Xenopus tropicalis: one gene and its partners. The protein of the gene in region 2 interacts with the protein of the main gene of each other region in a pairwise test. Links are inferred from orthologs where the notes say so. Each region holds a gene or a part of one and is shown on either strand. Other genes may lie near its edges.

Evidence for each region. The genes of interacting proteins can lie anywhere in the genome.
Region 1: the proteins of rufy1 (region 2) and rab39b interact in binary tests that used the Homo sapiens proteins (3 or more experiments, as listed by UniProt). The two-hybrid records come from large-scale screens. The link is inferred for Xenopus tropicalis from reciprocal best matches to the Homo sapiens genes RUFY1 and RAB39B.
Region 3: the proteins of rufy1 (region 2) and utp25 interact in binary tests that used the Homo sapiens proteins (3 or more experiments, as listed by UniProt). The link is inferred for Xenopus tropicalis from reciprocal best matches to the Homo sapiens genes RUFY1 and UTP25.

Annotation. Positions count from the first base shown.
Region 1 is NC_030684.2:50,653,971-50,658,257, reverse strand, and holds the start of rab39b (ras-related protein Rab-39B), read left to right. Parts: upstream 1-1,487; 5' UTR 1,488-2,686; coding exon 2,687-2,901; intron 2,902-4,287. UniProt on the Homo sapiens protein: The small GTPases Rab are key regulators of intracellular membrane trafficking, from the formation of transport vesicles to their fusion with membranes.
Region 2 is NC_030679.2:31,726,735-31,730,234, reverse strand, and holds part of rufy1 (RUN and FYVE domain-containing protein 1), read right to left. Parts: intron 2,593-3,500; coding exon 2,495-2,592; intron 1,631-2,494; coding exon 1,511-1,630; intron 1-1,510. UniProt on the Homo sapiens protein: Activating adapter involved in cargo sorting from early/recycling endosomes. Regulates retrieval of proteins from endosomes to the trans-Golgi network through interaction with the dynein-dynactin complex.
Region 3 is NC_030681.2:15,264,843-15,269,109, forward strand, and holds the start of utp25 (digestive organ expansion factor homolog), read left to right. Parts: upstream 1-1,467; 5' UTR 1,468-1,491; coding exon 1,492-1,598; intron 1,599-2,874; coding exon 2,875-2,914; intron 2,915-4,017; coding exon 4,018-4,267. Other genes in the region: tbcc (tubulin-specific chaperone C), read right to left, coding at 287-1,426. UniProt on the Homo sapiens protein: Component of the ribosomal small subunit processome for the biogenesis of ribosomes, functions in pre-ribosomal RNA (pre-rRNA) processing. Essential for embryonic development in part through the regulation of p53 pathway.

The DNA of each region.
Region 1 (4,287 bases), on a different chromosome or scaffold from region 2:
ATATCCATTTAACTAAGTTTAGCAAATGTACAGATGATGGTGGACAGTAATGTATGTTAAATGTTAAAATATTTTTTTTTCACAATTGTCACTGACTGTATGTATGATGTATAAGCAAACTGTGTGAGATAAGGCTTAGCTGATCCACGGGCAGAAACCTGGGATGTGAGTGGACAGGGCCTTCCTTTCAAAGCATTATATGGAGAAATCAGGTCATAACAAGCTTATCCATGGCATGAGAGCTGCATGCATAATAAAGCTATTGTTAGAGAGCCTGGCGGTTATTATAAAGAACAGAATCAGTATTGTTGAGATAATCAGTTTTTATAAAACTATTTTAGGCTTAAGATTAACCGTCAGAAAATTCATATGAATATATTATTGTTAATCTGAATCATGAAAAACACTGGAGGGGGATCTGATGGAGTTGTTTCTGGGCACTGTCTTATGGCAATCATGTCTCCCCTTTGTTTATAAATGTTTGTGGCCTGGGAGACTATGGGAGGGGAACCCCAGCTACACAGCAAGCTACAGGTACAGTTTGGTTCTGTCCTTGGTCTGTAATTGCTGCTGGTTTGTGTTGTAACATGGAAATACATAGACACTGGAATTTGTTTTAGGACACATTAAAGATGTAGAATGAGGCTATGCCAGTGTTGCTCTCTAGTAGTATCTCTAAAATCCCCCAATTTCTTTTAACATTCTAAAAAAGGTTGTTGGGCCACAAGTGGTTGATCCTTCAGGCTAAGCAACGTTCCCTGTGGCTTTTCAGTGTTATTTGTAAATGTAATTTACTGTACATTTCTGTCTCCTAAAGCCTTGTAGCAGAAGGTCAGTGTTGGAATATTAAAGCCATAAGGGCAGAGATAGAAGGGACAGTACCAGTTATAGATACAAGTAATCCTAAAACCGTTGTAAATACGTAAAGAATATCGTAAAGTTGCTTAGATTTTCAATTTTCTCTTTAGTTCAAATGTTTCCGTATGGGTTTTCATCAGGATACTCAGTCAGAGACTTCTCCTACACACATATTAGAGCAGTGATCCCCAACCAGTAGCTCAGGAGCAACATGTTGCTCCCCAACCCCTTGGATGTTGCTCCCAGTGGCCTCAAAGCAGATGCTTATTTTTAAATTTCTGGTAAGGAGGCAAGTTTTGGTTGCATAAAATCAAGTATAATGCCAAACAGAGCCTTCTGTAGGCTGCCAGTCCACATAGGGGCTATAAAGTAGCCAATTATTGCTCTTATTCCTACTCCTAGAAACCTTTTTCCTGCTTGTGTTGCTCCCCAACACTTCTTCCATTTAAACGTTGCTCATGGGTATAAAAGGTTGGGGATCCCTGTATTAGGGGACTCACAGGTCCTATATATCCCACTGAACGGATTGTTTTCCTCCCCCGGCCAGTGAAAGTCTTTGTGACAGCTGCTCGATTTCACTGCAGATTACGGTAGGGGTTGGGGCTGCGCCTCTAGGCAGGTGATTACGGGAGCTGCTGATGCCAATGATGAGTCAGAGTGTTTGGTGCTGATGTTGCTGCCATTTCATCAGCTCTGGGAGCCCAGCATCCTCTGTGCGGCGTCTCTTCTCCATCTTCCCACGGCCGGAGTGTGCTGCTCGTCGTACTCAGGGCCATCGCAGCCTCTCGCAGCGACTGGTCGCAATTACCGGGGGCGCAGCCGCTGATCGGCCGTGTTGCTGCTGGAGAAAGAGCTTGCGGGCCTGCGCTGGATCCGGCCGCGGTTGGGCATTCGGTTCATGGGAATAACTGCGAGTGATGGGCCTTAATGTGTCTGGCTGCCGGGCTAAGGCGAGCTGGAAGGCTAATAGAATTGGGTGATTGATCTGCTCTGGGAGACTGCTGCCCTTTCCCTCCTGCTTTGTACTGCAATGTGCACAGCACCCAGCCCAGGGCCGCTTCTACCCCACTAGGCTGCTTGGCATCTGCTTAGATTCGGTAGCCTCGCATAGACTGTTCGGCTGTACTGCTGGAAGATGGAGGCAGCCTAAAGTTACCATTTAGCAGCCTGTCAATGATGGAAGAGTGAGGAATCCACGGTGCCATTCTCCCTTTGTGCTAAAGGAGCTTTTCATCTTTTAAGAATATGGGCAGTTTGAGGACAAGCTGTGTATAGTTCAACCCCCACACAGCCTGGGGCCTGTTTACCCTCTCTCTAGAACTTACATAGCTGTCTATTAGCATCATTACACCTATCATGCTGCCAGAGGGCAGGAAGAAATCTTCATTAGGACTCCATAACCACTGACTGTAATTAACTCTGAAGTAACAAAAAATAGTCATTGTGGAGCCTTATTTGTTAGAATATAGACTTTTAAAGAGCTTTAAACATTTCTGTTGTACTCCTGGTCTAACACAAGGGCAAATTCTAAAGGCCACTGGATAAAATAGCATTGCTAATTGTAAGAGTAAAGAGCTTTACTGCAAAGGCCATAGTGTTTGCCCCCTAACCACATAATTACATGCGTTAGCCCAAGATCTTTGTTTATACAGCATATAAATGGTGTAGTCTCTTCCTTTTGGAAGCCTTGGTTGTGGTCCTTGAGGAGCAGTGGATACCCAGAGGTCTCCTTGCCTCCTGAAAGCAACCAGGACATCTCTGCTATAAGCTCCTATACATTGCCAGGAAGTTTGGCTTAGAGGGTCTAGAACTGTGGAAATATAGAACAATGGAAGCAATTTGGCTATACCAGTTTCGTCTCATTGTCATTGGAGACTCAACTGTGGGTAAATCGTGCCTCATTCGAAGGTTCACAGAAGGCCGCTTCGCTCAAGTCTCTGACCCAACTGTAGGAGTGGATTTCTTCTCAAGGCTGGTCGAGATTGAACCAGGCAAGCGGATCAAGCTACAGATCTGGGATACAGCTGGTCAGGAGAGATTCAGGTATGGTTGCCAGCTTTTCTTTGGGTGTTCTCACCTCCACCAGTCAGGTCCCAAAGTGGTTAGAATGGGGTTATAGGGATTTGTGGGATAAAAATGATCGGTGTGTGCAATCTAAATAAAGAGTGAGTATGGGCATACGATAGGGAAATTAAATATCATTGTCAAAATGCAAGTGTCTTTTGGAAAAATACTTGGAACAGTTTTCCTGTTTTACCAACTCAATACTAGCAAAACATAGGTGTACCTTCTGTAATTTCTGATGCTGTTATTTGGGTAGACTCTTCCTAAAACCCTTGTAGCAAAATAGGCTTTGGCCAGATGTCTTACTAAACATACACAGCAAAATGAACCCAAGTTAAATGATAGGTTGTATTTTCTTTTTAGTATTGGCAGCTAATTCCTGTCTCATAAATAAAGAGAAAGCTTTTGTTTGTCAGGGTGTGGTGGTCTATGTAACAGTCACTCATTTGGTTTTCTTTTAGACAGGTTTCATTTCTCTATCCTTTTCTGTCTCCTGTGCATTCCTCTATGTTCCCTTCATTCCTATCTGCATATAGAACCAAACCCTGCTCCCATATTTAAAAAATGAAAATGTAATAAATGCTTCATAACACTGAAATAAGAAACTTTCTAAATATAATTAGTTGAATATTCTCTATTCCTGAAATCAAGTTTATGTCCCTCTCAGCAGAATGAAGAGAAACAGATGGGGAGAGTGAAGATAAACTTGATTATTTCAGAAATGGTATAGAATTTTCAGTTGATTATATTCAGAAAGTTTCTTATTTCAGTATGAAGAAGCTTATGTTACATTTTTATTTTTGTGATAGTTTCCCTATAGTTTCCCTTTAGTATAGTTTCCCTTTCTATAGCGGCATATTGTTGCTACAAAACCAAGGTAAAGCTTCAGCACATAGCTGCACATTTCCTGATGCCTACATATCTCACCGTACTTGTTGGTGCAAATCCTGGATTTGTAGGGATCAGTTATCCAATAGTAAGAAGAAGATTAAATATATTGAGTCTTGAGCCTTTACAAATATAACTGCAAGTTGAATTGGTACCAGTCATAATCCAGTGCAGAGGCAGTGCCCTACTGAAAAAAAATTGTGGAATACAGAGGGACCCAGTGGTAGGACTAGGAAAAGAAACCTATACAGTGCTAAAAAGTTTTGTTTTCTAAAGACAAACACATGCTTGTCTATCTATCAGTGTCTAAAACCTTGGTTGGGCTTCCCAAACTAAAGGCCAGTTAGGGTGAGATTTAAGGAGAATGCGGAATGTCTATTTGCCCAGTAATCCAGCTTGGAGGTAAGTGTGAGTGTGAGACTTGGAAAAACATATTTGCAGGCCTGGACATTCTCAGATCTATGGCTGATACTGCAG
Region 2 (3,500 bases):
AATTCACTCACCCTCCCATCCGAATGTGTGATAAGAGCTACCAGGCTAGAGCTTCAGCACGGAAGCTACAAAGACCAAGCTAAAATGGCAGCTGCTATCTTAAACTACCGGAGGGAGCTTCAAGGGCTGTTTACTCAGGTATGGTAAAGCTTTCTGCAGAATAATTATAGCATATTAGCTAGCACTATTGTGGCAAATCTATTGGTAGTAAAATGCCAAAATGACTTTCCTTTCCTTTTCCTTCAGAGCTTCTCCAGCAGAATCCATTTTTCAAAAACACAGATTTTTTTCATATTTAGTTTTGCAATTTCCCATGGGGCTTGCCATAATCTTCATTTCCCAGGGTGCTGAAGACATGTGACTTTTGCTCTGATAAACTTCAGTCACACTTTACTGCTGCACAGCAAGATACACTGATATCACCCCCTCCCTTTCCCCCTGCCAGCAGCCAATCAGCAGAACAACAAGAAGGTAGCAAGATAGCAGCCAGCTGAAAGCAGTTCTAATGTGTACTGCTGGCTCTTTCTGAAAGCTCAGACTCAGGCACAGTGAGATGCCTACACAACAGTATTACAACAAAAAAAAAAAATACATTTTTGGTTCAAGAATAAGATTTTAAATTGTAGAGTGAAGTGTTTGCTATGTAAACAGTGTAATTTAGAACAAAAGTACACCATAAAAATTATGACAGAATCCCTTTAAACAGTCTATAGAACAAAACTGTTACATGCTACAGGCAGAGGCACATGGGGAGATTGGTTGCCCATGGGTAGTCTCGGCTACGGTGGTACACTGTGTGCCACTGGCCTTAACACATAGTTAGGTAGGTTAACTGGGTGCTATGCATTTATCAAACTACCCGCCATCGTATTGGTCAGGAATTTGTTTTGGGGCTTTCGATAGTAAGGCTAATTGGCATCTGCAATTTCCAAGCCTGCAATCTGCATCAGGGCTTTTGATGATTATGTTTAGTTTTGGATAAGGTGCAAAAGGGAAGATGCAGTGAGGGTTAATCTTTGTGATTCCCTTTTTTATGCTTCAAGTAAATAAGCCATTATTCAAAGATGGATTTTGTAATTAAAGGAGAAGGAAAGGCAAAGTCACTTGGGGGTGCCAAAATGTTAGGCACCCCCAAGTGACTTAAATCGCTTACCTTTTACCCCGGGCTGGTGCCCCTGTTCGGAGAGAACAGCACCAGCCCGGGGTAGCTGCGATCGCTTCCTCCTTCCTGCTTCCGTGCGTGCATGCGCAGTAGAGTGAAAAAGACGAAGTTTAACAGAGAAGTCGGCTTTTCACTCTAATGCGCATGCGCCGGTCCTGGGAATTAACCGGCAAAACTAAGCCGGTAAGGAGGAAGCGCTCGCTACAGGTACCACGGGCTGGTGCTGTTTTCTCCTAACAGGGGCACCAGCCCTGGGTACAAGGAAAGCCTAACATTTTGGCACCCCCAAGTGACTTTTCCTTGTCCTTTAAGGCTTAGGTATTTTGTGGGGAAACCCTCTGCCCTTACCATGTTTTATTAAGCTTTTCAAGTTGCTGCTGTAAGGATCCTATTTTGGCTCCATGCTCCATTTTCATTTTATTGCAATTTTCTTCAGCTGCTTCTCTAGTCTTTTCAGATTTCTGCAGCCTGACAAATACAAAATTGAGTTTAAGCAGCTTTTAGAAAGGAAGGCACTGTAACATAAAAAAACAACTTATGATATATACTATATATTTAATACATACGTATTCCTAAGGTATACTTAATAAAATCATACATGTAATATTTAGTCATGGACTCCTGTAGTGGAAGGAACCCTCATTTATCACTGAGGTGCAACTCACAGCACACAGCAAGGGGAAAAAGATATTTCTGACGAGAGGAATTTCTCACAGATTAAAAATATATAACATTTCATTGCAGCTTTGAAAGCACAATGTAGGGCTGTTAAGCAGTGTTGTTGAACATTTTCTATGTAGTTGTCCAAACGTTGATTATATAGATCAAGGGTCCTTTTAAACAGGGGGCCAAGTTCATGATCCCTCACACTGTTGGGGGGCCTGACTATAGTTAGTCCTCAACCTACGGCTCCCCACCGGCTCCCCACCGGCCCCCCACTGCCCCCTCTCTCCTGGCTATAATTTGTCTGCCTCAGCGTGGTCCTTGACACCTCATTAGCGTCAGACAGTGGAACGCAGTGACCTTACGCGCTGGGGCCGAGAATCACGCTGAGGCACCAGGGGTGAGGACACAGCGGGGACAGGGGACGGGTAAATGACCTTGGGGGCATATCCAGCCCGCAGGTCGTAGTTTGAGGACCCCTGATATAGATTGTCAAGGATGGGTAATATTCACATGATATGGTTATGGAGCCCACGGACAGCCCAAATGCTACAGGTAAAGAGCTTTTATTTTTTATTTTTCTTCTGACAACCAAATCATATTAATTTCTGAGGATGTAAATTGTAGGAAGCCTAGAGAGCTTTTCAGATTTTAGTGGAAGCAACAAACCTTTCCTCTATTTGCTTTAGTGCCGATGTCAACTGATCTCCTTTTGCTTGTACTGAATTCACAATTTCATTTTTCTTATGTAGGGCTGTTTCTGCATCCTATTAAATACAAAAGCTGAAATTAATACAAATAAGCAGGTGAAGTCATTTCTAAAATGGCGATGGTGAGTTGTTTTTCAACTTTATGACCTCTGATTGTGAGCTGGCTGCAAGTCTATATGGTGAAGGACCCGGGGTATACACACCCGGGTCAGCGCTTACTTAGGTACTTGTTTGATCTGTATTCACGTGTTTAACTTTTTATTTTCAGTAATTTTTGAATTACGGAGCTAGCTCATTAGACTCTCTTATTTATTTCACATATAATTTTTGGTTTTTGTGTGTATCTTGATGCACTGGGCACCAACTATTTTGCTCAGTAAACATTTCACAAGAGGACAGTTTGTTTTAGGCTGTTGTTTTTGCTTCATCCAAAACATTGTGTCAGTGTCTTGGTGAAATTTATTTCAAACAGTTCAAAAATCTATAACCAGAACCTCACTGATAACTATGCAGTATATCTGGTTAACAAAAATAAATAAAGAAATAGAATAAAGAAAAAAAAAAAAAAAAGACAATGCTACATTGATACCACCCAGGATACAATATCCGCATCTTGTGTACATTGTAGCCAATTTAACATGCTTCGCCTAGTCTTTGCTTGGGAAAATTTTTAGACATTATGGGTGTACAGAAATACCCTTTTGCAAATCTTAACTTGTGGCATGACCTATATTTGGTAAACATGGTGGGCAGATACACACAAGATGAGGCTGAGACTAAATTGCTCCACAATTATAGTAAACATACATATAGTAAACATACACAGGCCATGTAAAGGAAACTTACTGAACAAATATTCTGCTTTGTTCTCAGCTGTTTCTTTACATATTTTCAAACTAAAGCTATATGATATAATAAAGCTTACTTCAGGCATATCACTTGTTAAAGGAGACATATAGCAGAAG
Region 3 (4,267 bases), on a different chromosome or scaffold from region 2:
ACGTATAACATCTATTTACACAGGCAAGTCCCCTCTACTGGATACCAATGGCCGGTCACTCTGCCCAAACACCTGTAGGCCCGCACCATGTCTGTACGGCCAGCAAATAAGGGTTGAGGCAAAAGGCTCCAACTGTTTAGAAGCCAGGAATGCGAGTTCCAATATAAATCCCTTTAGGCAATGTAGCGCTCATGCTTTATCCTTTCCTCTTGGGTCTTCCAAGCAATGTCCAGCTTCCACCTGAACTTGTGCCAATCCTCCTTGGCCGCCCAATGTCCCCAGAGCATCAGGCCCAGTCGGTGACTCTTTCCTCCTCTGGAAGGACACCCCAGTTTGGAGATGGGACATCCCTGGCCAGCCAGTTGAAATCATCTACTTGGTTCCAATTATTATTGGCCCTGTCTAGGCCGGACGCCTCGTAGTCGCCCAGGATCCCCTCGTAGGACCAGGTGAAGGGGGCAAAGTGCAGTTGGGCGCAGTCCTCGATGATGGCCCTGCTGGTGACGTGAATGTAGAAGCGACAGCGCTCGGTGCTGTGAGTGCGCAGTTGTTGGCAGGGAAAGGCAAACAGGCAGTCGCGACAGTCGTCCACAAACACCGAGGTGCAGACGGGGCCACACAGCACCTTACAGCCCCGCAGGCCCCGGATATGCAGGGTGGCGGGGGAGCCCCTCAGGGTGACGGTGCAGTCTTGCAATTGGCTCAGCGCAACATCTCTCCTCTGGATCTCAGCTGCCTCCATACACAGGGCCTGGCCTGAGAGTCCGCGCAGCCCACACAGGGCCTGGGGCTCCGCCGCTTTGGGTTTGGCCTGAGGTTCCGCAGGGGTGGGATTACTTGCAGGGGTGGGATTCCCCGCAGGGGTGGTATTACTTGCAGGGGCCGCCTCTTTCCTGCGGGATTTGAAGGCAAACTTGCCCCGGGGCTGCAGAGCTTGGCGTTTGGCCCCCAGAGCCCCCTGCATTCGGGCCAGTGAGTCCTGGGCCTGGCGGATATCATAGGGCGGGAGGAACATGAGGCTGTCATTCAGAAGCTTCTGCAATCGCTGCAACCGAGCCGCAGCCTCCCCCAGGGCCCCCGACTCCTCGCTGCCCAACAGCTCCTCGATCCCCGCCCTGTCAGAGCCGAAAGAGGCGATAAAATGGGCGCTCCTCTCCTCCAGCACAGCGCGGCCCTCCTTCTCCTGCCGCTTCCTGTCCGCCTCCCGCTGCCGCTCCTCGTCCCGCCTCTGTAACCGCTCAGGGAGGCGCCCCCGCTGGGCCAGCGACTCTCCCTCTAACTCCGGCTGCATCTCCGGCTCCATGGCGCTGTCTGCGGCGCACTGCCTTCTGGGAGCCGGTACCTCGCAGTCGGCTGATGTTTGCGTCATGAGGTAAAACCAGGCGTAAAAGTACCGCCCCTCTCTGTGATTATTGGTCAACGTCATCAACTATGCGACAGAACCCGGAAGCCAATCGGAGAGGGAGGCGCACACGTGGTTAGAGTGCAGAGATGGGGAAGCGGAGGAAGCCGCGGAGGGAGGAGGCTGGCAGCGCCCTGAGCAAGAAACAGAAGAAGCACCTGAAGGAATTTGGGGAGCAGCACCCCTTCTATGATGCGTGAGTAGCCTCGGAGCATATCGTCCGGGTATGGGGATGGGATGGGATGGCGGGGACTCAAACCTTCTCTCTTAGAGTCTGACATTTCCCAGGCAAACACACCATGGCCAATGCAAGAGTTAAAATAGCAGCTTGAGTGTCAGGAAAATAAAGTAAAAGGGGGGACACATAGTAGTGCCCCCCCCTGCCCTGCCCTGAGTAACCACTTGGGGGCGCACATGGAACAGCAATGATACATAACATTATAGGCCAGAGTTACTGTTATTGCCTTGGGGAGGGGACAAAGGGATCAATGACATGTTCAGATAGAGGAGGGGTAGCTGGGAAGGTGAATATAAATATTGGGCAGAATCTGGAAATGGAGAATCAGCCCAGAGTGTCCCGGTGTCCCGGTAACTATACTCATGTTACTTATCCTGTTCCCAAATGTCCCGATATCAAGGGGAATGTTGGGGGCACATACAGGTGTAAGAGCAAGAAGAGTAGAGACAATGTTGTGCCTTTAGTTAATATATTGGATGTAGAGTGTAAGCTCTTTTGGGCAGGGCTCTCTTCCCCTCTTGTATCGGTTATTGATTGCTTTATATGTTACTCTGTATGTCCAATGTATGTAACCCACTTATTGTACAGCGCTGCGGGATATGTTGGCGCTTTATAAATAAATGTTAATAATAATAATAATAATAATAATTGCACTGAGTGGTATTTTGCAGTATTATCAACATAATGTATAATGCCTTATGGATAGTCAGGGGCCACATTAGAGGCCCTAAAGGGGACATGAGTAGAAGATATATATATATAGTAAGTGTTACCCTGCAGGAACATAAAACCGAGTAAAACACTGATGTTACAAATTGTAACAACTTCTCCACAGCTTACAGACAGCATACAGACAGCATGCAGGAACTACATAACCCACAATGCATTGTACTGTGATGTTCCTTTCCTTATTGACATCAGTGTGCAGGGAATTGTGGGATTGGGAGGATGCAGGCTGAAGGCAGGCTGAGGACATTTTATTTGAGTCTCCAAGTAGCCAGCCGAATCAGCAGGGGAACAGGGGGCGGGGCTTAGGGAACTGTTCCAAACCATATTATAACATTAAAAATCAAGAAAAGGCTGCATATTTTTTGGGTGGAGTTCCCCTTTAAACAGCTAGGTTAGTAGGTACTTTGAGGTTCAGGGGGTTGGTACAGACTACTGATTGTATGTCTTGGTGGGCCCACCAGCTTGTTATTAAACATTGTAAATCTGATCCCTTTTCTCTTTGCAGAGTCTCCAAGAAACAAGAAACAACCCAGGTGGTTCAACTGGTGAGTGACTGTAATGCCTGAGCCTTCCAGTTTAAACAAGAATGTAGCTGTTGCCAATATATACTGCAAATGTCTATTTAAAACCTTCTTTAAACATAAATCACAATGGAAGAGATGGGTGGAAATTTCAATTTACGTTAAAACACTTTAAACCTACTTTATGGACAGATACAGAATTATAGTTTGTGGCTTTACTTCCCCTTAGCTTTATATTTCAACTAATTATGGGTGTAGAACTGTAATATCTATGTGAAGGCATAAGGGAGTATGTGTGTGATCTTTCATGTTACTACCCAGCCATGTTAGTGCAGGTATGGGATCCGTTATCCGGAAACCTGTTATTCAGAAAGCTTCAGATTAAGGGAAGGCCATCTTTCTCTTATTCTCTGCACATGATCCCAACTAAGAAATAATTAATCCTTATTGGGGGCAAATAAATTCTGTTGGGTTTATTTCATGTTTAAATGATTTTTTAGTAGACTGAAAGGGGTTGTTCACCTTTGAGTTAACTTTTAGTATTATGTATGAGAGTGATATTCTGAGACAATTTGCAGTTGGTCTTCATTTTTTATTTGTAGCTTTTTTAGTTACTTCATTTTCAGTTCAAGAGCTCTCCAGTCTGGAGTTTCAGCAGTTATTTGGTTGCTGGGTCCAGATTACCATAGCAACCAGGGAGTGGTTTGGATGAGAGACTGGTATATGAATAGGAGAGGGGCTGAATAGAAAAGAAAGTTACAAAAAGTAAAAATAACACTGTAGCCTCACAGAGTAATAGTTTTTTTTTGAGCTGAGGTCAGTGACCCCCATTTGAAAGCTGAAAAGAGTTGGGACAAGATGGCAAATAATTAAAACAACTATAAAAATAAATAATGAAGACCAATTGAAAAGTTGTTGGAATAGGCTATTCTATAACGTACTAAAAGTTAGCTTAAAGGTGAACCACCTCTTTAAGGCATGCAGATCCAAATTACAGAAAGATCCCTTATCCAGAAAGCCCAGGAATACATTCTAGATAACAGAAACCTGTACATTGCTTTTATATAAAATACAAATGCGTTGCTGATATTTCTAGTTACTATAAGTCTGACTTGTCTGTATTTTAGCCTGAGAGTTCGGAGGATGAATCCCGAAGTGAGAGCGAGGCAGAGAGTGATCCCGAGCCGGTTAACATGTACCACAAGCTGCTCGCCACCTTGAATACTGTGTCTGATGAAGAGGAAGAAGAAAGTGATGATGAGGAAGAAGAAGCCCTAGAAGAAGCAGAAGAGGAAGATGAGGCAGAAGAGGTGGGTGAGGAATCGGAAGCAGAGGATGAGGATAATGAAGATGAGAGTGACGGGGAAGGCCACGGGC